Linked DNA regions of Macaca mulatta. The protein of the gene in region 2 interacts with the protein of the main gene of each other region in a biochemical or structural test. Links are inferred from orthologs where the notes say so. Each region holds a gene or a part of one and is shown on either strand. Other genes may lie near its edges. The genes, in order: NSMCE1 and MAGEF1.

The links.
Region 1: the proteins of MAGEF1 (region 2) and NSMCE1 form a complex in vitro, tested with the Homo sapiens proteins (2 studies listed by BioGRID). The link is inferred for Macaca mulatta from reciprocal best matches to the Homo sapiens genes MAGEF1 and NSMCE1.

The regions. Positions count from the first base shown.
Region 1 is NC_133425.1:26,775,601-26,787,683, forward strand, and holds part of NSMCE1 (non-structural maintenance of chromosomes element 1 homolog), read right to left. Parts: intron 7,415-12,083; coding exon 7,293-7,414; intron 6,503-7,292; coding exon 6,425-6,502; intron 5,392-6,424; coding exon 5,245-5,391; intron 4,385-5,244; exon of another isoform or gene 4,237-4,384; intron 1,481-4,236; exon of another isoform or gene 1,006-1,480; intron 952-1,005; exon of another isoform or gene 385-951; intron 1-384. UniProt on the Homo sapiens protein: RING-type zinc finger-containing E3 ubiquitin ligase that assembles with melanoma antigen protein (MAGE) to catalyze the direct transfer of ubiquitin from E2 ubiquitin-conjugating enzyme to a specific substrate.
Region 2 is NC_133407.1:96,861,564-96,873,739, reverse strand, and holds MAGEF1 (melanoma-associated antigen F1), read left to right. Parts: upstream 1-6,458; 5' UTR 6,459-6,672; coding exon 6,673-7,599; 3' UTR 7,600-8,129; downstream 8,130-12,176. UniProt on the Homo sapiens protein: Enhances ubiquitin ligase activity of RING-type zinc finger-containing E3 ubiquitin ligases. Proposed to act through recruitment and/or stabilization of the E2 ubiquitin-conjugating enzyme at the E3:substrate complex.

The DNA.
Region 1 (12,083 bases), on a different chromosome or scaffold from region 2:
GAGACCCAAGGGAGGCAAATGACACGGACCCAGGACACGGACCCAGGCAGGCTGATTCCAGTTTCTCCACAGTCAGCTCATGCATCGGACGTGAACCGCGCCAGGAGATGGCGTCACTGAAGCCTGCGAGTCACTCGAGTGCTCAGCTGCCTTTCCTGTTATTTTCTAATTTTTACAAGCAAGAGCTGTCACTCCCGTTTTTGTTTTTTGGTTTTTTGGTTTTTTTTTTTGAGATGGAGTTTTGCTCCTGTTGCCCAGGGTGGAGTGCAATGGCATGATCTTGGCTCAATGCAACTTCCGTGTTCTGGGTTCAAGCAATTCTTCTGCCTCAGCCTCCAGAGTATCTGGGATTACAGGTGTGTGCCACCACCGGCTAATTTTGTATTTTTAGTAGAGATGGGGTTTTGCCATGTTGACCAGGCTGGTCTTGAACTCCCGACCTCAGGTGATCCACCCACCTTGGTCTTCCAAAGTGCTGGGACTGCAGGCATGAGCCACCGTACCCGGCCCACTCCTGTTTCTGACAGGTAGAGCCCCCCCACCCCATTCCTGCCTCCATCCCCAGAGTGCAGTGTGGAGGGGGTGTGCTTGCATAACCTGGGCTTGCAGTGCATTCACTCTGGAACACCAGTAGAGGGGCTGGGTGAGCACAGGAAGGGAGGCAGGGTAGAGGCATGGGGTTGGGGCAGGGACAGCCGCTGCGGGAGCAGTGGAGGGAGGCCAGGGTACCAGGTGCTTATGCCCTGCACGGCGGCTGTTGGTGCACAGGGGCTTTGTGTTCTCCAAGTGCTGTGGGCAATGGGAGGATGTGACCAGCCCTCAGGCCGTCCTCAGTCCTCGGTCCTCGGTCCCATGGCTGTTACCTTCCCCAAAACTCCCAAATCCATCATGGCACCCCACCTCCCTGGCTACCACCCACTTCCACCCTCCCCTCCAGATCCATCACGGCACCTCACATCCCCGGTCACTGCTGCCTTCCACCCTCCTCCAGATCCATCACGGCACCCCACCTCCCCAGCCTCCACCCTCTTCCACCCTCCCCTGTTCCTGCAGCTCTCTGAGCCCACTCTCCTCCAGCAATGTGCTTGCTACAAAACAAGCCTGGCCCTGTCACTCCCACCTCACCCCCGCCCGAGGGCTTCCCACCACCCTTAGGTCCAAGGGCCAAGCCCCTAATGCATGTATCTCCCGGGTTGCCCTCGTCTGCTCTCCCCAGCAATCTTTGTGCTCAGATGGCCCTGGCCTTAGCTTCTTGAGCACACTCACTGGCCACAGGGCCATTGCTGGGCTGATGATCCTCCCACCCCAGGCTCCAGGCAACTCCCACACAGCCTTCAGCTTGAGTGTCACTTACTCAGCAGCTGAGGGCCAGTTCCTCTGGGACAGCTGTCATAAAGCCATGTTTCCTTTCCATCTGTACCTGGACTGCAGTGGGATGACCGTCTCACTGCTCTTGGGCTCTCCCTCCAGACCACGGCCCCGTGGGAGTGGCCACCAGCTCTGGTTTTGCTCACTCCAGTGTCCGCAGCACCTGCTGTGGGGCCCAGCACTTGGCAGGCCCACAGGAAGATGAAGTAGACCTTGCACTGATCCCAGAGGAGTGCCTCACACTGTGAGCAAGTTCAAGCTTAGACTGAGGCAGGAGGTGCATTTATTTTTATTATTTTTTTAAATTTACTTATTTTTGAGACAGTTTCACTCTTGTTGCCCAGGCTGGAGTGCAATGGCACAATCTCAGCTCACTGCAACCTTTGCCTCCAGGGTTCAAGTGATTCTACTGCCTCAGCCTCCCGAGTAGCTGGGATTACAGGTGCCCGCCACCACACCCAGCTAATTTTTTATATTTTTAGTAGAGACAGGGTTTCACCATGTCGGCCAGGCTGGTCTCAAACTCCTGACTTCAAGTGATCTACCTGCCTCAGCCTCCCAAAGTGCTGGAATTACAGGTGTGAGCCACTGTGCCCAGCCAAGCTGCATTTACTGAACACCTACTATGCACCTGAAACTGCACCCAAGGCTCACCATTCATGACCCACTCAGTCCTCTGTGGGCCCATCAGGGAAGGGGTAGGAGGGGTGCCCTAGCCCTCAGAGAAGACGAGAGCCCAGGCAATCTCCCAGACACCTCGCCACGACACTTGGAAGTCAGGACCTCTTGTAGGGAGCAGTCCTGGGGTGCATGGAGGTGCGTCCATCAGCAGACGTCCAGCTCCCATGAGCCGCGCTTGCTCTCAGAAGCCTCTCTGCTGACCCCAACCACCCACCACCCCTGGGCCTTCTCCTGGACCGGCAGCTGCCTCAGCACCTCCATGCTGAGCCAGTCTCGCACAGGACTGGCTGTCTAGGAGTGACATGTCCTTGGGGTGATATGCCCACCTGGAAGGGCCTTGGCAGTGGACCCCTGGCTGTTTCTGTGGGAAGCCCTGTGTCTGAGAAGCCAAGGATCAGACGCTGACGTGTGGTCTCTCTGATCGAGGTGCTGCCCTAGGAAGACCTGTCCTGGGTACATGAGCACCCCACCCCTGTTCTCAGCGGTTCCTCCAGAGTGCCGCAGACCTCAGGGCAACCCTTACCAGGCCATGTAGGTCAGAGAGCACTGGACCCTCACAGAAACCTGGAGCTGGCAGTGTCTCCATCCTGCAGATGAGGAAACAGTCTCTGCAACAAGAAGCTGCTTGCCACAGGCGGCAGAGGAACCTGGAGGAGTCTCACTACGCAGCTCTTGCCACATGAGCTTTGTTCCTTCGTCCTCCTCAGGGCCCCAGCAGGCCAGGCAGTCAACAAGAAGCCTCTCCAGGGCGACTGCCCAGCACCAGTGCTGAGGGCCCCCTGCTACTTCTGCAGCGCTCCTGCAGGTGGCAGCTCCCGGATCCTCTATCCACCCTCCCTCGAGCTCAGAGGCGCCCTGCAGAAGGCGGTGCCAGCACTGCCACCGAACTGAGAAAGGCACAGAGTACAAGCGCCTGCAGCCACAGCTCACCCCCACAGACTCCAAGGGCGGTGCCTCTCCTATCCACCACAGCCCTCTCCAGACACCAAGGGCAGACAAAGGGCAAGTCAAATCATAAAGCTGGGGGCACGCCCTGCAAGCCATGCACAATGGTGGTGGCGTGTGCTAGGCACGCATGCTCTTGGGTGCAAAGCAGGCTGCAAAGTGTTGTGAAATGGAATGTTGGGGCACTTGGCTCTAGGGGCTGGGATAACAGGTGACTTCAGTGGGTTTCTTTATGCATCTTGACATGTTGTAATCCTCCTATAATGAACAGGTATTTCCTGTAACATTTTTTGTAAGTTTTAAACTCTGTTCCTCTGTAACCTCATCCACCCGTTCAGTCATCCAATCAGCAAGCATTTATTGAGCGCCTGAGGTGCCACGCACTAGATTCTGCAATGGGAATCAGCCATGAAGAGGTCATAACCCTTGCCCTTAAGAAACTTGGCCCATGGCTGGGCACAGTGGCTCACACCTGTAATCCCAGCACTTTGGGAGGCCGAGATAGGCAGATCACCTGAGGTCAGGAGTTCGAGACTAGCCTTGTCAATATGGAGAAACCCCGTCTCTATTAAAAATACAAAAATTAGCCAGGCATGGTGGCACATGCTTGTAATCCCAGCTATTTGGGAGGCTGAGGCAGGAAAATCACTTGAAGCAGGAGGTGGAGGTTGCAGTGAGCCGAGATTGTACCATTGCACTCCAGCCTGGGCAACAAGAGCGAAACTCCATCTCAAAAAAAAAAAAAAAAAAAAAACTTGGCCCTAAGAGGGGCTGCACCACAAGCGAGAATCGTCAGTTATAACCTCAGCAGACCCTAGAACATTCTCTAGTACCAAATACAGCCCGGAGGGCAAGAAAAACTGTGACAAAGCCATTGATGGGAGCTGCAGTCCCCAAACTGGGGCCTGAACTCGGCCCTGCCACTCTCAGGGTGTCCGATGTCATCCAGACCCCTGAGCTGTTGTCCGATGTCATCCAGACCCCTGAGCTGTCAGCTAAAAACTAAGCTATGGAGCCACTGCAGGACAGCAGGCAGCCTCCGAGACAGGACATACGGGAATGTGCCCAGCAGATCCTGCACTCACCAGGAGCTCCCAGCCCTGACCTCACCCCTGTGACCTCTGCCCTCACCCCGTGACCTCTCCACCCTTTCTTCCCATCAGGTACCCCAGGAACTGAATTTGGGTCAGGTTCCTGGTACAGGCCCACCCTACACAGAAATTAGTAACTCAGAACACAGACTTCCCCAATCCGGAGGCAAGCCTTCCTGAACAGGAAGTGGAGAGTCGCTGCAGCCACAAGCAGCAGCCTCTGGCCACAAGTCCGACCACCAAGTGAGGAAGCGGGAACCCGACGTGAGCGCGTCCTCAACACACACGGGCACGAGCATCTGGGAGGGCACAGCAATGGTCAACTCAGCAAACACTACGCTGTTGAAAACAGGGGTGCCTTTTGTGGAAAAAGAACTGAAACATTTGTTCTGCTCCATTCAGCAGGACTAGACGTGGGGGCGGGGCAGCATCTAGAAACTGGAGCTGCAGTGGGGCCTGTCCCAGACGTCACAGCTCCTTTCCTAAAGCTTGTCTGTGCCTCTTCTAAGTACTGACCCTGAGGAACTCACTGCTGACAAAAACAACAGTGGTAACGTCGCCAATTCCTCTGCTGCCTCCCCCGCGAGCCAGCCAGCGCAGCACGGAGCACGTTACTGTGAGGTCCCATTCCTGCTCCTGACACACCCAGCCCCAAAGGGGAAACGACAACTTCCCTCTTACAGGGAACCTGAGGTCACCTGGCTCAGGGTTCAGACCCGGGTCAGACATCACAGCCACACTCTCAGCCACGGAACTGCCTCTGCCTTGCAGTCTGTGGGCTAGAGGCTTGGTCCCGGGGCCCAAATCCCGGGTGCAGCTCCTGGCTCTGCCATTCTGGCTGTGGCATCCTCAACACATCATGTGGGTGAACAGGGAGTGGGAGGCAGGAGAGGTGAGGCCCAGATCCTCCCCATGGGGTCACTGCTGGAATGCGTGAAAGCAGATAAGGGATCTGAGAAGGCTGGGCTCCACAGACATCAGTTGGCTAGAAATACGATTTTGGAGACAAAACTGCTATTCACTCAAAAGAGTGAAAGCAGATAAGGGATCTGAGAAGGCTGGGCTCCACAGACATCAGTTGGCTAGAAATACGATTTTGGAGACAAAACTGCTATTCACTCAAAAGAGTGAGCCGGACTGGAAAACCATGAGACAGTACCTCAATTAGCCACTTGTTTTGGACAAACTTCTGCAGCACCTGCTCCGCTTCCTTCTTCCTCATCTTCTTGCCTTTAAGTTGATCAACCAGGTTCAAAATGTTTGTGGAAGACGCAAAGCCAGTTTCTGAGTCAATAATTAGTTCCAGCTGGAAGAAAGAGCAGGTACCATGCTTCTCTATTAAAATGGCAAAAATAACTTTTAAATGGTAATACTAAGTCTGGCAGGGGTGCAGTAAGGCCACTCGGATCACAGGCAGAACTGCACACTGGCACGGTATTCGGGGAAAACAATGTAATACGCATCAAGAGTCAGGACTGTGCTCAGTTCTTTTGACTCAGAGGTCACTTCGATAACATCCTCCCAAATAAATCATCTTAATGTCCCCAAATCAATAAGGGTCACCTTGCCTCACAGCTGGCCTCAGAGGCAGCGAGAGACAGACACGGCAGGCAGGAACCTCTGGAGAAGACAGGTTCCTGCACACGCAGATGTGTGCTCAGCTCAGCACCTGCTCCTCAACCCTGGCAGCTAATAAACCCCAGGAGAAGACCTCAAAGGAATGATTCCAACACCTGGTTCTCAGAGATTCAGATTCGACAGATCCCAAGTGGGGCTGAAATGTCTGAATTCTTTCTCACCTCTGCAGTTATGTAGGCCCGAGAACCACTCTTAGCCATATGTTTGACCAGAGGGCCGAGCAAGTAGCTCTGAAGCCTGGTAGAGCAATGCCGCTCAAATGTGCACATGCAAATGATTCAGCGGGCACCTGGCAAAAATGCAGATTCGGACTCAGCAGTCTAGGGTAGGGACTGGGACTGGGCCTTTCTAACAAGCTCCCAGGTGATGCTGCTGCTGCTGCTGCCTTTCCCAGATGGCACTTAACAGCAGCCAGGTAGGAACGCCTGTTACTACCAGTGAGGCCCTGCTCTTGCCCATCCAGCTGGGGCTCACACCTGGCCCAGCACTTCCTTCCCAGGCAGCCATGGGGGCCCCTGACAGCTGTGAATTCCAGATGGGTAGACAGTGATATCTCCCTGCAAAGCGTTTCCTCAGACAGCAGTGGTGGCCCACGTCCCCCGCAGTGATCCTTGAAGACTGCAGTTGCCACTTCTAACGACTGAGAAAGAACTTTCCCATAAGAAGCCCAGCCAATGGGCGACGGGGATTACTCTACTTACAGCCTTTCTAAACAGATCCAGTTCATTCTCTGCAAAATCCGTAGCCATTTTGGAAATTGAAGTTGTAGCAAGATTCACCTAAGAAATAAGTCAGCGCAACAGTCAGGCTGTGCCCTTCGCGTGTTGGTTAACGTGTCGCTGGCTCTCCCTCCCTCCCCTCCTCCGTCTCTGGCCAGTCACTGAGCTCCTGTATCCAGGCACTGCGAGCCGCAGGATGGATCTGTAACCAGGCATATACTACAGACTTTATTCTTTAGCTCAGTCAACATGCTAGACCCTCAGAAGTTTCAGAACTCCAGAGGGTGTGCAGTATTTTCCAAACTCAGATAAATTTGGGAGATTTGTCTACATGTTAATGGAGCTTCAAATGCAAAAGGCACTGAGAAGTCCGACAGCAAGGAAATCTGCTTTGCCGTGTCTGACCAGCATTTCCATAGTTCTTTGCCTGTGTAATGTTTTGGAAACCCTGGACTAGAGTGCTCCTTTCTGAGTGTGAGCCTGGCTGGGAGCAGCCAGATGTCCTCTGACCAGCCCGAGGTGTCTCCTAGCCAGGGATGGGGCATGTCAGCTTCCCACTCCTGTGTTTTCACCCTGATCCCTACCTGTGAGAGTAAATCTGAAAACCACTGAAGACCCCACGTGGGTCGCAATCCTTGACACTCCTACACACTGTTTCTTTTCATCGCTTCTATGTCTTATTCTAAGTAAAAAACCATTTCTCCCTTTATTCCTAATATTCCATACATTTGGAGTGACTTCTTTACAAAGAACTGTCCAAAAGAGAAATCAAACCAAAGCAAACACGGGCTGCCTGGGCCCTGTTCCAGCTCCTCAAAAACACCACTAGAGGGCTCTGCCGGGCACTCACCAACGCATAAATGGGTCTCCCGTCATCTTCCGTGACTCCTCTCTTTATCTCAATATACAAGGACTCCAAGACACTGTTAATGTTGTTGATGAAGTCCTCCAACTTATCTACAGTGGCATTGCCTGGAAATAAACAGACCAAAAAAGGGGTGTGATGGGGGGCCTCATCAAAAAAACGTAGTTTGCTTGAATCATTCCATCCCATCTCAACACAGGGGACAGCAACCCCAGACACGGGCGGAGGCTGCAGCCTCTTGGGTGAATGCCAGTGCCGTGTGGCTTCTTTCTTCCTGGAGTACTTGGAAGACAAACAGACAACAGATGGAGGGCGTTGTGAGGCAGGAGGGCCGGGGAGATGCTATCTGCAACCACGGAGGCTGCCGCGGGCTTCCTGTCTTTGCTCGCTGCCTCCCGATGAGAGTCTGGATCAGCACCTTCAGCGTATCACTCAATGACATGCTCAGAGCGTGCACTAAGCTCCCGCTGCACACACATCCCATCCCATCTCAGCCGTTCTACCTCGTCCCCAGTGCCCCGCGAGAGGCCTCTGTCCCTTTGCGTCCCCACACGTCTTAGGTGGAGCTTTATTCCTTTCTTTTTTTATTCAGTGTCCACTTATCCTCACTTACATGCCAGGCTTGTGCTAGGTCCTGGGCTGGAACAGTAAGAATAACAACAACCGGGGTGAGAAGGGCGGCTTGCAGCAAGCCCTCAGCATGGAGAGGCCCTGTCCCGGGCACCCTTTGTCATCATGAATCCACCCTCCAGCAGCTCTCTGGGCACAGGGAAAGAGGCTGAGACGCAGAAAGGTGAACTGACTCACCCAGAGTTGTACCACAAGGCCGGGGCTTTGACCTCTCTGTCACCCACCTCCCCTGGCCCTGCCAGCAGGACGCTCACAGCCCAGGGGCCACCATCCAGGTCCATCAGTCTGAGGAGGGGGTACCCACAGTATGGCCGGGGGCTCAGCTGAATGGACACTGATCAGCCAGGGAAGGAAGGAGGGCAGAGAGGCTGCGGTGGGGAAGGGAGCCAGATCACACAGGGCCTGTGGCCGGGGACAGCAGGGCCTTTCTCCTGTGGCACCAGGAAGCCTCTGAGCACTGGAAGCAGTGGAAGGACATGTCCAGCGCTGTGTACCTTTCATGCTGTGAGACAGTCATGTCTTTTGAGACAGTCTCACTATCGCCCAGGCCGGAGTGCAGTAGCGCAATCTTGGCTCACTGCAACCTCCACCTCCGGGTTCAAGCAATCCACCTGCCTTAGCCTCCCGAGGAGTTGAGATTACAGGCGCCCACCACCACGCTCAGCTAGTTTTTGTATTTTCAGTAGAGATAGGGTTTTACCATGTTGGCCAGGCTGGTCTCGAGCTCCTGACCTCAGGTGATCCGCCCACCTCGGCCTCCCAAAATGCTGGGATTACAGGAATGAGCTTGTGCTGCGAAACTTTTTAAAGCAAGAGTATGTATTACTGTTTTCACTGTTTTTATGTATTAAAATAAATAATTTCAAAAGATTCATGCCTTAGAAAATCATTTTGGAAAAAAAACTGCAAGAAAAAACAGACAATCTGATACATTTCGTGTGAAACAAAAACAGAACCAATGAAACGGTCCCACAGGAAAAGGCCCAGCAGGTTGCCCACTGGACTGATGACCAAGGCCACTGCCAGGAAGGGACTAAACGGGGGTCATCACAGCGCCCTCACGCTGTGTGTCTATGTTTGATTTCTTATAGACAGAGGCATTTCTAAGCTACCCATACAACTCAAGATCCATAAAGTTAAAAAAAAAAAAAAAAAAAAAACAAGATCACGCTGGTGAAAATGGAGGACATAGCCGTGTGAAAGAGTCAAGGACAACCCAGGCCAGTGAGCTCTATCAGAGGATCAGACTGTGGGCGCCCAGAAAAGCCAAGAACAAAGCCCAGGGCAGTGACACTAACGCGCCATGCTCAGCGAGGAGCTAACCTTCCATTTAAATAAAGTTTTTAAAAGGCAGTTTAAATTAAAAAGTAGTCATAATAAGTGGGTGGAACATGGACATGGTGCAATCGTAACATGAGACAATGGCATCTGGCCTCGGTGGCTGGAGAGCAGGCATCAGGACTGAGAGGCATGGCCTGACTTCCTGCCTCCACGCCTCTGCTCACGGGTCCCTCCTTTCTGAAAAGCTCTCCCTCCACTGCTGCAGCCACCTCGATGGCCTGTTTTTCCAGGAAATGTTCTCTTCTGCCCCCGATGCTGTCTTCCTCTTCCACACCACGCAAGGCAGCTCTTCGCTGGCGTGGGAGCCAAGCTGTTCCGTACCTGCCTGTGCCGGTGACTTGGGCAGACACGCTTTTCCACCCCCAAGGGCAGCCAGTGCTGGGGAGCTCAGACGCAAGGGGCCCAGACACCAAAAAGCCTTGCTCAGTGCAGAGTGAGTGACAGGAGCCCTGTCCACCCAGTGTGACACCAGGGCAAGTCCCACCTCCCTCTGAAACTGACAACTCACATTTTCCACTAACGAGGCCCCTCCTGGGTGTCACTGAGAACAATGTGCCCTGTGGGCAGATGAGAGGCATTCTGATCTACTGGACTTTCCAGACACCCCATTGCGGGGAGGCAGCCAGCAGCCCTCTCTGCCCTTCCCCTCTCCCCACTGCCTCTGGTTTGGCGTCCGGCCTCATTTTTCAGAAACCATGAATGTTTTGCTGTATTTTTATCTGACCAACCACTTCCTCCTACTGTACTCGCTCACTGCAGACACCAGCCACCGCCTGGGCGCTCCCATTCTCTCCGCTATCGCCCTCTCCTTCCTTCCACACGCTTCCTGCATCAGGGTCGTGTCCACGATCTCCATCACTGACCCTGTAACTGTTTCTCATGGAGGCCCCACGCCCTTGCAGCGCCTCTTAATTGTGACCTGAGAAGAAACTTCTCTTACGCTCAGCAAACCCCTCAACTGACTCCTTTTGGCAGCAACAGAGGCGGTGTGGTGCCATGGGACTGGCAGCAGGGTGTGGGCTCCAGCCCGTCCTGCCCTCCCGCTCTGTGGGGCCCTGTGAGAGTCTCTCCCCGACTTCTCATCTCTAACAGCCACACACGGTCTCACCTCCAGCCTCACACATGTCCAGAACCCTCTTCCCTCCCGCCTCTCCACCACTACCCCTGGCTGGACCCCAGCCTCCTGGTCCTCTGGCAGCCTGCTGTACAGGCCTTCCCCAACCAGATGAGCTGCACTTCCCAGCTCTGTCCTCCCACGGCTCCAGCACTTCCTTCCTCATCACACGGTGCTCCAGCTGCTGTGTCCGGCCACCCTGAAACAGGAGTCAGCTGGTGACGCCTGCCAGCCCAGCAGCCATGTCCCTCCCTAATGAGACCTTCGCCTTTTTTCTTTCTTTTTTTTTTTTAGAATTGTCTTTCTCTTACATTTGCGGTTTTGGTGAGAGAATAATTCCAGGTACAATATTCAGGGAACCAGAAAGCAGAAAGCTGAAGGGACCAGAGATTAGGGCAGCCAGGAGTAGACAGAGAACCCACACCAGCCAGACACTTTCGCAATCTGAGCAAGGGACAAAAGGAAGCTTGGAGGTGGCTCCAGCCTAGACACTATAGAGGGCCAGCTGCTCTGGCCATGCAGTGGTGCCATGCTTCCTGCCCGTCCCCAACTGCGCACCTGGCCACCAATGAATCCTACGTGTCCCTCCCCCAATAGCATCTCGACACATTCCTTTTTTTTTTTTTTTTTTTTTTTTTGAGATGGAGTGTCACTCCGTCGCCCAGGCTGGAGTGCAATGGCGCAATCTCAGCTCACTGCAACCTCCACCTCCCAGGTTCAAGTGATCCTCCTGCCTCAGCCTCCCCAGGCACTAGGACTACAGGTGTTTCACCACCACAGCTGGCTAATTTTTTGTATTTTCAGTAGAGATGGGATTTCACTGTGTTGGTCGGGCTGGTCTCAAACTCCTGACCTCAAGTGATCTGCCCACCTCAGCCTCCCAAAGTGCTGGGATTACAGGCGTGAGCCACCACGCCCAGCCCCGACACATTCCTTTCTCAGAACTGGGGTCTCTTGCTTGCTCCCAAGACCCTTACGATGCCCACTAAGTGCTAAGGTGGCACCAGATCGCTGCTTCCCAGCCTCAGGTCTTCAGGACAGCTAATGTCCACAGCTCTGCCCCTGCTCTCTCCTCTGATCCTGGAGCCCTGGTGGAGAAGCTACAGTTTGCTAATCTGTAGGGATACACTGGGCTAAAGGCATGTCTGAGGATCCTTTTGACCTCAATATTCTACAAGCCCATGGTCATGATAAAGAGTGTGGGATAAAGTCCATATCGTGGGATTCTGAGACAGCTACTTTCAGTCTTAGAAATACCACTTTGAGGACTTAGGAGTTAATAATACACTACTTTATTGCGGCACTATTCACAATAGCACAGACTTGGAATCAACCCAAATGTCCATCAGTGGCAGACTGGATTAAGAAAATGTGGCACATATACACCATGGAATACTATGCAGCCATAAAAAAGGATGAGTTTGTGTCCTTTGTAGGGACATGGATGCAGCTGGAAACCATCATTCTTAGCAAACTATCACAAGAACAGAAAACCAAACACCGCATGTTCTCACTCATAGGTGGGAACTGAACAATGAGATCACTTGGACTCGGGAAGGGGAACATCACACACCGGGGCCTATCATGGGGAGGGGGGCGGGGGGAGGGATGGCATTGGGAGTTATACCTGATGTAAATGACGAGTTGATGGGTGCAGCACACCAACATGGCACAAGTATACATATGTAACA
Region 2 (12,176 bases):
ACATTATCTAACTTCTCTTAAATTTCATTTGTAAAATGGGGAATAATTATGCTTCCCTCAAAGGGCTGTTCCGAGGATTAAATAAGATTCAAGCAATTGTGCAGTGCCCAGCACATACTCCCTTCCACCCCTCCAAATTCCCATAACACTTTATTGATACCACTGATGTCAAGAGCACACATTGACGTAGTCATTCTTTTTATGACAGCTTATTCCCTGAAATAGATCAGTGGTTCCCAATGTCCCAAAAAGCTTCTTGTATTACCCCCATGGTCCCACAGCTTGAAAGATTTTGGTTATTAAATCAAACATATTTATGAAATAATAGCCTGCTTTTCTCAGTTCGTGATCCTAGTAAGCTCTCTGAACATGGAGAACTCTGCCAGCCTTTCCTCTCATACCTAACTCTAGGGACTTGGAGTTGGGAGCCACCCACCAAGACCGTAAACGCCTGGAATCTACAGCCCTGTCTCCACGCTTCCCACAGCACCTTACTCAGTGCCTTGGGCTTAAAACACACCTAGTAACTGCTTGTGGCATAAACAAGAAGTTTCACACACATGACAGGGGGAGAAGCCCTCTCCAAATGAGCTGGGTGGTGTGCAGAAAGGGGTCATTGTTATGGGAGGCAGAGCTGGAGGCGAGCCCTTCTCCCTCCATCCACCCGGAGCAGCACCCCCAATTACACCAGCTGGCCTCCAACTTCTGTGTGTGAGCCGATTAAAAAGCACCCTCTCTTCAGTGTCTGGAAACTCCTGCAAGGAAAGTTTGCTGCCCAAAGTTGGCTTTTGACTAGAGTCTTAATAAGAGGCCTCAGCAGGCTGTGGTTAGAGAGACAATGTCACTTAGAGGAGCAGCTTGAAGCGGCAGTTAGGAGAAGAATTATTTTAATGAATACATTTCCTTTCAATTGTATGGGAATATCAAGATCCCATTAGAATGGGGAAGCAATTAGAACTAATAAAGATGAATGCACAGTGCTCTGTGCGTGCGGAATAACAAGCAGCCCACAAAGGGGCTCCGGAGAGGCCGCTCTAATCCAAGCGGACCGGCGGCCAGCAGAGGGGAAACGGCTCTGTTCAGCCACTCAAAGACCCCGCATCCTGCACATTCTGATCACGGCCTGCAAATGGCGTGAGGTGGGCCTCGGAGGTGGGGGTTGGGGCCCCCGCCCTTGCCTGGCCTCTTGGGGATTGAGATGGGCTGTTGGCAGCCCCTTGGCAACAGCCATTCAGACCAGGGCCCTGGCTCCTGGCCAGGCTCTTGCCCGCCCCTTGCACTGGGCCTCATTGTGTCCAGGTGGCAAATGCCTTCTCGCCAACTCTCCTTCAAGGTTTAGAGAGGGGGTGGGACAGTGGAAGAGGGAGAAGGGGAAGAATGAGTAGGGGGCCTTCTGCCCCCTGCCATTCCCCCTCCCCCGCAGGCCAGGGTCTGCTCCTCCTCTGGGTTTGGTATTATATTACAGACACTGGTGAGTCACTGGCAGCCAAACACAGAAGTACTGTTGCTTACACAATTACTCTTCAAACAGTAACAAACAATTTTCATTACCCAAGTCAGATCGAATCATCTGCCTGGCCATCCTGCCTCAATCCCAGCCCCACAGAGGGACCCAAAGCCTCACACTCTGCCCATTCTGCTCTGACAAAACCAGCCTTCAATTTGTCCCAGCCTAGGGATAGGGACAAAGCTCTTCCTCTGATCCCTGCTTGAAGCCGGATCAGCTGCACGGCTATCAAGACTGTCAGGAGAAATAGGGAAGACACAAGCACCTATGCAGCCTGGGGACCATCAGATCTGGGGTGACATGTTACTCAGCACCTATGTGAAGAAGGCATTCAAGAGTTTGGAGGACTCTATTGCCAAGTTTAGAAGGAATCCAACAAGATAACCCTGGCTCCGTACCAAAGTATTCACTGGCCTCAAATAGAGTGTCAGTACTTGACATTTCTTTATTTAATCTTTTTTGGCCAGACAGTTTTTTCAACGAGGAATGTGTAAGCTATTCCGAAATGTCTGTATAAGAGGCCAGTCACCCTCATTACTGGGATTTTTCCACCACGTCTCTTTTAGAAAAGGGTCTGTAATATTTTATATTTATTTCTTAACGGTGGAGCATTTTAAACGCATATTTACATTTATAATCTTGATTGAACTTCAAAATAACTCTGTGAGGATGGGCAAAACAAGGGTTGTCAGGGCCTAAAGATGAGGAAAAGGTGGCTCAGAGAGGTTCAGCAGCCTGTGCAAGGTCACAGAATGGGCGAGTACTGACGTGCTTCAGCACTTTGTACCAGGACACCTCCTCCGCATCTCCACAGCGTGCTGGCATTCCAGGACAGCTCAGCTGCAGATCTACTTTTCCAGTGGAACATCCTTCTCCCTTCCACGTATGAAACTGTACGAAGCACTGTGAGCTTTTGAAGACTCTAGTCTAGGCTAAGAAGGATTCTCTCTCAAGAAGATTCCAACCCAATAGTCATTGAAGTATATGTTTCATCATCTCCCAAACCAAACACATATACCTTTTGTCCCTTTTAAAAGCTTAGGTAAGGAATGTGTTAAAAGTCTGCCTGTTGCCGGGCACGGTGGCTCACGCCCGGTAATCCCAGCACTTTGGGAGGCCGAGGAGGGCGGATCATGAGGTCAGGAGATCGAGACCATCCTGGCTAACACGGTGAAACCCCGTCTCTACTAAAAAACACACAAAAAACTAGCCGGGTGAGGTGGCGGGCGCCTGTAGTCCCAGCTACTCGGGAGGCTGAGGCAGGAGAATGAGGTGAACCCTGGAGATGGAGCTTGCAGTGAGCTGAGATGGCGCCACTACACTCCAGCCTGGACGACAGAGCGAGACTGCATTTCAGAAAAAAGAAAAAAAAAAAAGTCTGCCTGTCCAGTTACATGGTGGACATAATGAAATGAGAAAAATGATTGTTTGCATCCCTCCCACTATAACATGGTAACATCTAGGGACTGGCAAGTGGTAAAGCAAAGTCCATTCACCTTTCTTACTCCTCACCACCTCCCATACCTAAAGGGCTGTTCATTTTTTAAAATCCTTTTTATTTCTATAAATTTTGAGGTATGATTCATACACTATGAAATGCATACCTGCCTGGGTGTGGTAGCTCATGCCTCTAATCCCAGCACTTTGGGAGGCTGAGGCAGGTGGATCACTTGAGGTCAGGAGTTTGAGACCAGCCTGGCCAACATGGTGAAACCCCATGTCTACTAAAAATACAAAAATTAACCAGGTGTGGTGGCACATACCTGTAATCCCAGCTACTCTGGAGGCTGAGGCAAGAGAATCACTTGAACCTGGAAGGTGGAGGTTGCAGTGGCAGGGACTGCAGTGAGCTGAGATTGTGCCACTGCACTACTCCAGCCTGGATAACAGAGTGAGATCCTGTTTCAAAAAAAGAAAAGAAATGCATAGCTATTAAGTGTACAGTCTGACAAGTTTTGACAAATGTATACCTACATCCAAATCAAGACACAGAACATTGCCATCACCTCCGAAAGTTCCTGGATACCCCTTTCCAGTCAACACCACCCCATGCCTCCACTGTCCTAATTTCTATCACCGTAAATTAGTTTATCCTGCCTTGAACATCAAATGGATGGAATCATATTATATGTATAATCTTTTGTATCTTTCTTCTGTCACTCAACATATCTGCCGGACTCATTCACATGGTGTCAGTAATTTGTTCCTTCTTATGAGCAGTATTGTCATTCATTCAGTTCTTAAAATCCAGCCCTATTACCACAGATTTGTCCCTCAAAATTCTTTTCATTTAATGTATCTTCTGCATGCTCCTTTCCATGCATATATCTCCTGCATATCTTCCTGGCAATCCTTGTAGTGAGGAAAATATGCAAGTGGACTATTTTATCTCTAGCCCTGTCCTTTTAGGTATGGGTGGCTCGCTCTACCTTCAGGAAAAACAGATAACCAGGCAGTCTTGCTTCAGAGTTTACAAATCTGGGTTTTCATTTCTTGTCTAGCACTTAACAGATGGGTGGTTTGGGGCAGGTGATTTAACCTCTCTGTGACTGTTTTCCCATTTGTAAATGTGGATAATAATACCTTCTTAATAGGGATTTGTGAGGACTAAATTATATTGTACATAAAATGTTTGGCACAATGAAAACTAATAACAGCCTTGAGCTGGGCTATAATAAACATCTTCTCCTGCTTCATTCACATACTTTCAGTTTTTGTAAGTCATATGATACAAATGGGTATATATTTTCAAAAGTTTTTAAAAGGAAGATTTCATATTTAGATTTAGAAAAGTCTGTCAGATATTTACTTAAAATAAGTAACTGTTATTTCCCAGGGAAAAAAAGTAAAGCATTCTGTCATTTATTCATTGCCAATTATATATCGAGTATTGACTATGAGAAGCTCTTCAAAAGAGTTAAAGACATAGCCCTAGCTTTTAGGATGTTTGGTTTGGGAAGAGTAATAAGATAAGCACAACACATTATAGTACAAAGTATAGTAAATGATAATAATAATTAACATCCACAAATGTAGTGGTTAAGAGCACGGTCTCTGGAGTCATACTATATGGGCTCACGTCCCAGCTGTGTGATGTTGGGCAAGTTGCTTAACCTCCTTGTGTGTAACCTCACCTGGAAAATGGGGCTAATAATACCACTTACCTAGCAGGGCTACAGTATCGGAAAAAAGTGGCCCAGAGTGTTTGAGCATCCTGTGCAAGGTCACAGAATGGGTGAGTACTGACCTGGTTCTGTGCTTTGTCCCAGGACACCTCCTCCACATCTCCACAGAGTGCTAGGCATTCCAGGACAGTTCATCTTGCAATTCTAATATTGTATATTGCATATAAAAATATGCAATAATTAACAGCTAACATTTATTGAATATCAATATGTACCAAGCACTGTGTTAAATGCTTATGTGCGTTACTTCACATAATCTCCACAATGCTGTTACTACTATTATACTCATTTTACTGATAAGGCAACAGAAGGGCAGAAGTTTAGGTAACTTGCCCAAGATTATACAGCCAGTAAGTAGCAAACTGTGCCACAGAAAAGACACAATCATCTATAAAATGGGGATGATGGTATTAGTACCTACATTAGTGAGAATCCGATGAATTAATATTTGAAAAATGCTTAGAATGGAGCTTGGCACCTAATAGGCCTGTATACGTGGTTGTTAACAAATTGCTAAGGTGATTCAGAGATGACAATAAATAACTTCTATGCATGGTGACTAACGAAGGTTTGGGAAGGTGATGTTTAAACTGGGCCCTGAATGGTGGACAGGATTTGGAGAAATGGAGGTAACAAAGAAGGCATTTCAGACAGGGAAAGGAGGGAGGGAGGGAGGGAGGGAGGAAGGAAGGGAGGAAGGAAGGAAGGAAGGAAGGAAGGGAGGGAGGGAGGGAGGGAGGGAGGGAGGAAGGGAGGCAGGAAGGGAAGGAGGGAGGGAAGGAGGGAGGGAGGAAGGTAGAAGGGGAGGAAGGAAAGAAGAAGGGAAGTAAAGAAGGAAGGAAGGAGCAAGAAGCGGAAGCAAGCTCAGAGTCTGTAAAAAGAGAAAAAGAAGAAATACATGGCAGTAGTCAAATTTGACTTGGGCAAAAACAAAAAGCAAAACAAAAACAAACAAACAAAACCAAAAAACTTCCCCTTTCTTCCAACCAGTCCCTATTTCTGCTGTACTTCCTCAGTATATCTTATCATTTTCCTCTGATCCCCATGGAATCTGCTGTCCTTACTCCCTTACCATAATGACCCATTGAATAATATTTATTGAGTTCCTCTCTGTGTCAGGCACTGCTCTAGGCACTGAAGATACACCCCAGTGAATAGGCCAGGTCCCAATTCCTATTTTGCACTATAATAATCCTCCAAACTGGATTATAGCTTTTAGCCGGCCGAACTCCAATCCATCTTCCACAATACCACCAGAACATGAAGACACAGATCTGGTCTGGACACTCACTTGCTTAAATCCCGCTGCAGTATTTTCTCTTTATGTCCAGAATAAATTTCAATCTCCCTAGCATCCCTTACTAATTGTCTCGCACAGTCTTACCTCCCAGCCTTCACCGTGCACTCTGCACTAGAGCCACGGTAAAGCACTGAAAATCCGAGATACACACACTTACAAATAGGCACTTGCAGAAAGAACGTGAGTGGCACTCCATCCCTATTTCATCCCTTGTACACTGAAACTTCCCCAGTCTGCATGCCTTGGATGGGAGAGTCCTGGTTACATTTCCCCGCCCCCGAGTTTTCGAGCCTAAAATCCGGCACAGGGTGCACCCACGTCCCACCCTCCAGGGCACTTCCACTTATAGCAGCCCGGGCACACGCCCCCACCCAGAAGGGGCCGGAAAAGGAGGGGCTTCGCGCGGCGCTAGGGTCGCCATCCTGGCTGAGGTGGCCGGAAGCGGCCCCTCGCGCGGGCGCGGACTGAGGCTGCGCGCCGCAGGTCCCGGCTGCTGGCGGCGTTGCGGCAGCAGGTTTGACTCCCGTGTGGTGCGGCCCAGCAGCTACAAAGTTCCTTCTGCCATTGCTCCTCGTACTCCCGCCGCCCCAGCCGCTGTCCAGCCTCTCCCCCGGGGCTTGCACGGCGGCTTCCACACCCCTCGGCCCGTGCACGCGCTGTGCACCTGCCTGCCCGAAAACATGTTGCAGACACCAGAGAGCAGGGGGCTCCCGGTCCCGCAGGCCGAGGGGGAGAAGGATGGCGGCCATGATGGTGAGACCCGGGCCCGGACCGCCTCGCAGGAGCGCCCCAAGGAGGAGCTTGGCGCCGGGAGGGAGGAGGGGGCTGCGGAGCCCGCCCTCACCCGGAAAGGCGCGAGGGCCTTGGCAGCCAAAGCCTTGGCAAGGCGCAGGGCCTGCCGCCGTCTGAATCGGACGGTGGCGGAGTTGGTGCAGTTCCTCCTGGTGAAAGACAAGAAGAAGAGTCCCATCACACGCTCGGAGATGGTGAAATACGTTATTGGAGACTTGAAGGCTCTGTTCCCGAACATCATCGCAAGGGCCGCAGAGCATCTGCGGTATGTCTTTGGTTTTGAGCTGAAACAGTTTGACCGCAAGCACCACACTTACATCCTGATCAACAAACTAAAACCTCTTGAGGAGGAAGAGGAGGAGGAGGATCTGGGAGGAGATGGCCCCAGGTTGGGTCTGTTAATGATGATCCTGGGCCTTATCTATATGAGAGGTAATAGGGCCAGGGAAGCCCAAGTCTGGGAGATGCTGCATCGGTTGGGGATGCAACCCTCAAAGTATCATTTCCTCTTTGGGTATCCGAAGAGGCTTATTATGGAAGATTTTGTGCAGCAGCGATACCTCAGTTACAGGCGGGTGCCTCACACCAGTCCACCGGAATATGAATTCTCTTGGGGTCCCCGAAGCAACCTGGAAATCAGCAAGATGAAAGTCCTGGGGTTCGTGGCCAAGCTGCATAAGAAGGAACCCCAGCACTGGCCAGTGCAGTACCGTGAGGCCCTAGCAGACGAGGCCGACAGGGCCAGAGCCAAGGCCAGAGCTGAAGCCAGTATGAGGGCCAGGGCCAGTGCTAGGGCCGGCATCCACCTCTGGTGAGGGTTGGTGAAAAGTTGGCCAGTGGGGTCCCCGTGGGGATGAGCTACTGTCCTGAGTCATAAGTAGTATAGGTGGGGCGAGGGTCTTATTTCTGTAGAAATAGTGTGACTTTAAGGATTTAGATTTTGTATCTTATGTTTTGTTACATTTAATAATACTGTTAAAATGCTGTTTGTAAATGAGATTGTTCTACTTTTTCCTGTAGGATTTTGTTGTAGAGTTTTGCTGGTTTTGTAAAATGGCTTGAAGAACTTTGTATTTATACTGTGATTTTGAACAGATTATGGAGCATTGGAAGGAAGGCTGTACTTTAATGGTTTGAAGGAACTCAGCAGTATGATGATCTGGTTCCAGGAGAAAAAATAGCTGATTGGTGTCTAGCCTCCCAATACTTTTGTCTGTTGTATATAAAAGAAGAAAGGCTGGCATGTACCTCCATTTGCTTAGCTATTTGAGTATCTATAGAAAAATTAAAATGTAATGAATTAGTATACCCTGGTACATTTAATAAATTAAACATTTGTGGAGTATCTTGTTTTTTGTGATGCACTGTGTGGGCACTTGGGGTTAGAATACTAAACAAGATAAAGGTCCTGCTTTTTTTCAGAGTTGGAGAGTAAGTAAATAAACGAGAAATTAACAGTGCAGTAAGTTGAAGACTACAAAGGGATATTTAACCCAGCTGGGGTGATTGAGTGAGGTTTGTTGTAATCTCAGCACTTTGGGAGGCTGAGGCGGGCTGATCACCTGAGGTCAAGAGTTCAAGACCAGCCTGGCCACCCTGGTCAGTAGTAGAAACCTTGTTTCTACTAAAATTACAAAAATTAGCCAGGCGTGGTGGTGCACGCTTGTAATCCCAGCTACTTGGGAGGCCAAGGCACGAGAATCCCTTGAATCTAGGAGGTGGAGGTTGCAGTGAGCCGAGATCACGACACAGCACTCCAGCCTGGGCGATAGAGCAAGACCCTTTCTCAGAAAAAAATAAAAAATAAAAATACTGATTTCAGATTACAGCTACTACTCAGTAACATGAGCAGTACTTGATACATGGCAGATCTGGAAAATACCCTACCTTCACCAGTGTCCTCTTTCCAGACCAGATTGTTAACAGTGCACAAAGATGGTGATTGTTAAAATTTTGACCCTTTCTGTCTCCTTTTCAACTTCTACAGGGTTCCCTCTTTTACCAAAGCCCTCAGAGATCAAATAAGGTAATACTTCTGGAATATTATGTAGTGTGAACGAAGGGTACATAAATCTACTACTACCAAGAATTTCCACTTCAAGATTTCTCCTCTGGCACCAGGAAGCCCAGTTCTCCCTTCCATGTTTCAACCTACTGCTTTCCACCTGCCACCTCCCATTTGGAGGAGACTTGTAAGGCATCCCTCCCCTTCATATTATCCGTGGAGAGTCATCCGTAAGCAGCTCTGGCTTCTTCAATGCCCACCACCTTCTGTGAGGATAAATCCCATAGAAAAGGTACTTAGAATAATAGGTAATTTAGAGAAGTGATTCCCAAACCAGAGGGTGGGGGGCAGGGCGGGCAGATAGTGAAACTGTTCCCCTGCAACTGCCATAAACAGAAGAGCTGCTTTCTTTTCTCTTGTCAGTTTTTTCTTCCATTTGTGTCCAAGTAACATCTCTGAGGATGTTAAGGTTGGCATGGAATACAAACTACTTTGGAACATAGGGATCCACCAAATCAGATTGGGACAAAAGCTACCAGTTTATGGGCAAAAAAGTTGGTAATGGTTAAAAATACAACTTCTGAATAGTTTATAATTCATTAAATGTAAATATTGAGTGCCCACTCGGTGCTAACAACATTGATGGGTACCAGAACTATTAAAATGAGAAGACTTGGCTGGGCGTGGTGGCTCACGCGTGTAATCCCAGCACTTTGGGAGGCTGAGGTGGGTGGATCACGAGGTCAGGAGTTCGAGACCAGCCTGGCCAGCATAGTGAAACCCTGTCTCTATTAAAAATACAAAAATTAGCTGGGTGTGGTGGCGCACGCCTGTAATCCCAGCTACTCAGGAGGCTGAAGCAGGAGAATCTCTTGAACCCAGGAGGTGGAGGTTGCAGTGAGCCGATATCGTGCCACTGCACTCCAGCCTGGGCAACAGAGCAAGACCTCCGTCTCAAAAAAAAAAAAAAAGAAGACTGGCTTTGCCCTCTAGGAGCAATAATGATAGTTTCTCACATTTGTATTTTCTCACAGGGATGAGAGGTCAGATTACTGGGTGATTTGCCTAAGGCCTTTTGGTTGGTAAAATGCAGTACCAAGACTATAACCCGAGTCTGTTGCCCCAAAATCCAGTGTGTTTCATTCTAGTACATTGTTCCCCATTCCTAGCCTTCAATTTTGGTCATCACAACTCCAAAAAACAAGTGAGGTGTGTGTAATTATCTCCAGTCACCACTGCAGTTGTTACGGGAGTGAGATAGAGTAGAAATTCTCCCTGTCTTACCAATGACAGAGGTGGCTTTGCTCAAGGTCAAACATGTAGTGGTGCATGGTAAAGACAGGACTAACGGGACCATTGACTAAATATCTACTAAAGGCCAAAGGCATTCTTTTTCTCCTTTTCACAAGCACATTGCAAATACCTCTATTTGACAGACACTAATGATAGTAGTGTTACCAATTATTTTTTTAATACCTAAGATGAGCCAGCTTTTTATGCTTTACATGTTTTAATGATTTTTTTTTTTTTTTTTTGAGATGGAGTCTCGCTTAGTCGCCCAGGCTAGAGTGCAATGGCGCGATCTCGGCTCACTGCAAGCTCTGCCTCCCGGATTCCCTCCATTCTCCTGCCTCAGCCTCCTGCCACACCCGGCTAATTTTTTGCATTTTTAGTAGAGACGGGGTTTCACTGTGTTAGCCAGGATGGTCTCGATCTCCTGACCTCATGATCTGCTTGCCTCGGCCTCCCAAAGTGTTGGGATTACAGGCGTGAGCCACCGCGCCTGGCCTAGTGATTTTTATAACTGTCTTAGAAGATATCATCTGTTCCATTTTGCATGAGGCAAACAGACTCAGATGCTATAAGGGTCTCACAGATAGACCATGACAGAACAAGGATTGGAGATGAAATCTGAGTCAAGAGGTCGCACTTTTCACTATTGTACATTTCCTTCTTGAGATTCCTTCCAGACTTGAGTCATTTGTCTCCTGAATCATCTTCTTTCTTCAGACACCACTGTCTCTCTGGAGATGCAAACAAGGGCTGTGTAGCCAAGGTAATTATGAGAAGTCGCTGCCCAGCAGGTAAAAATGAGGATAAAATACAGTTGGGGCATTATCTTTGAATGTTGGTCCCAGCTCTACCTACTCTTCCCAGTGTTCTCAGAGTGCTGGCTACAAGTAGAATGTATTTTTGCTCAAACTTAGCGTATTTTGCCCTTACAAACTGTGTTTCCTCAGTCTTCAGTCTGCCCTCTCCACTAAACTTCAAATTCATCTTTCATGCCATGGAATAATCAAATAGCATTTGTGGATCTGCAAATATGATTCCCAGCACTGTTTTCAAATAATACAAAATGCTGGCACAACTGGTACCCTTGCCTCAGGATGAAAGACCTCCATTGCAGATGTCCTTATCAGCTTCCCAGAAGTGCTAATAGTGTGGTCTCTGGGCCCATATGTGGAGCAGACATTGGCCATGTTAAGGGCAAGACACAGATTCTTCTCTTGCTTATGGCCACTCACATGAGGGAGAAGGAAGGCCTAGATCCCCCCTCCTGCCCCCTTCAGACACACACAGAACTAGATCTTCCTGGGTGAAACACTGTGTGTGTGGGGCAGGGAAGATTTGGTTGAGGGAGTGTTGGCAGATGGATTACTCCAAATCATATTTATTATAGTGCAACTAGGAAGCAAAGCCAGTGAAGGAAATTCCCTCGAAAACTATGAATCAGAGACTGATTTGAGTAATAATAAAACTCTGGTCTCTCGCACAGCCGGCTCTGCATGAATTACTCTTTCTCTATTGTAATTCCCCTGTCTGATGAATTGGCTGTCTAGGCAGTGGCAATGTGAACCCTTTCGGCAGTTACAAATTTGGGGGCTCATCCGGGATTCATCGCTGGAGGGGGGCCAGTGAACCATGGACAGGTAGCCCCACTCCAATGATGGATCCAGAAGCCAGCCCAAGCAGTCACCTAGTTCTCTTGAACTGGGGGCTAACTCCAGTACTCTGTACTGGCAGGGTGCTGCCAACCCAATGTGCATGGATTTAATTACAATGGAGAAATAGTCCCAGGGAGACATCCCTTAACTGTAGCCCTATCACAGGGTGTCTATTGTATCCCCAGTGTGGGATGTCTGGTGAGTATCCTAGGTGCTGCCAACACCTTCTTCCTTCTCCTGACTGGTTCTGTAGCCCTATGGTGGGGTGTCTGTAGCTCCATTGCGGGGTGTGTGTTTGGCTCCTGGGCGGGTCTTGGTTGGCTCTTTCTAATCAGTAGGAAGAGTCCTGGTTTGAGAGACTTCTCTTCAATCAGGAAGATTTCGAGGAGGTTTCTCAGAGAATAGGAGAATAGTTTGGAAGGGACACTCTTGGAGTTCTAGG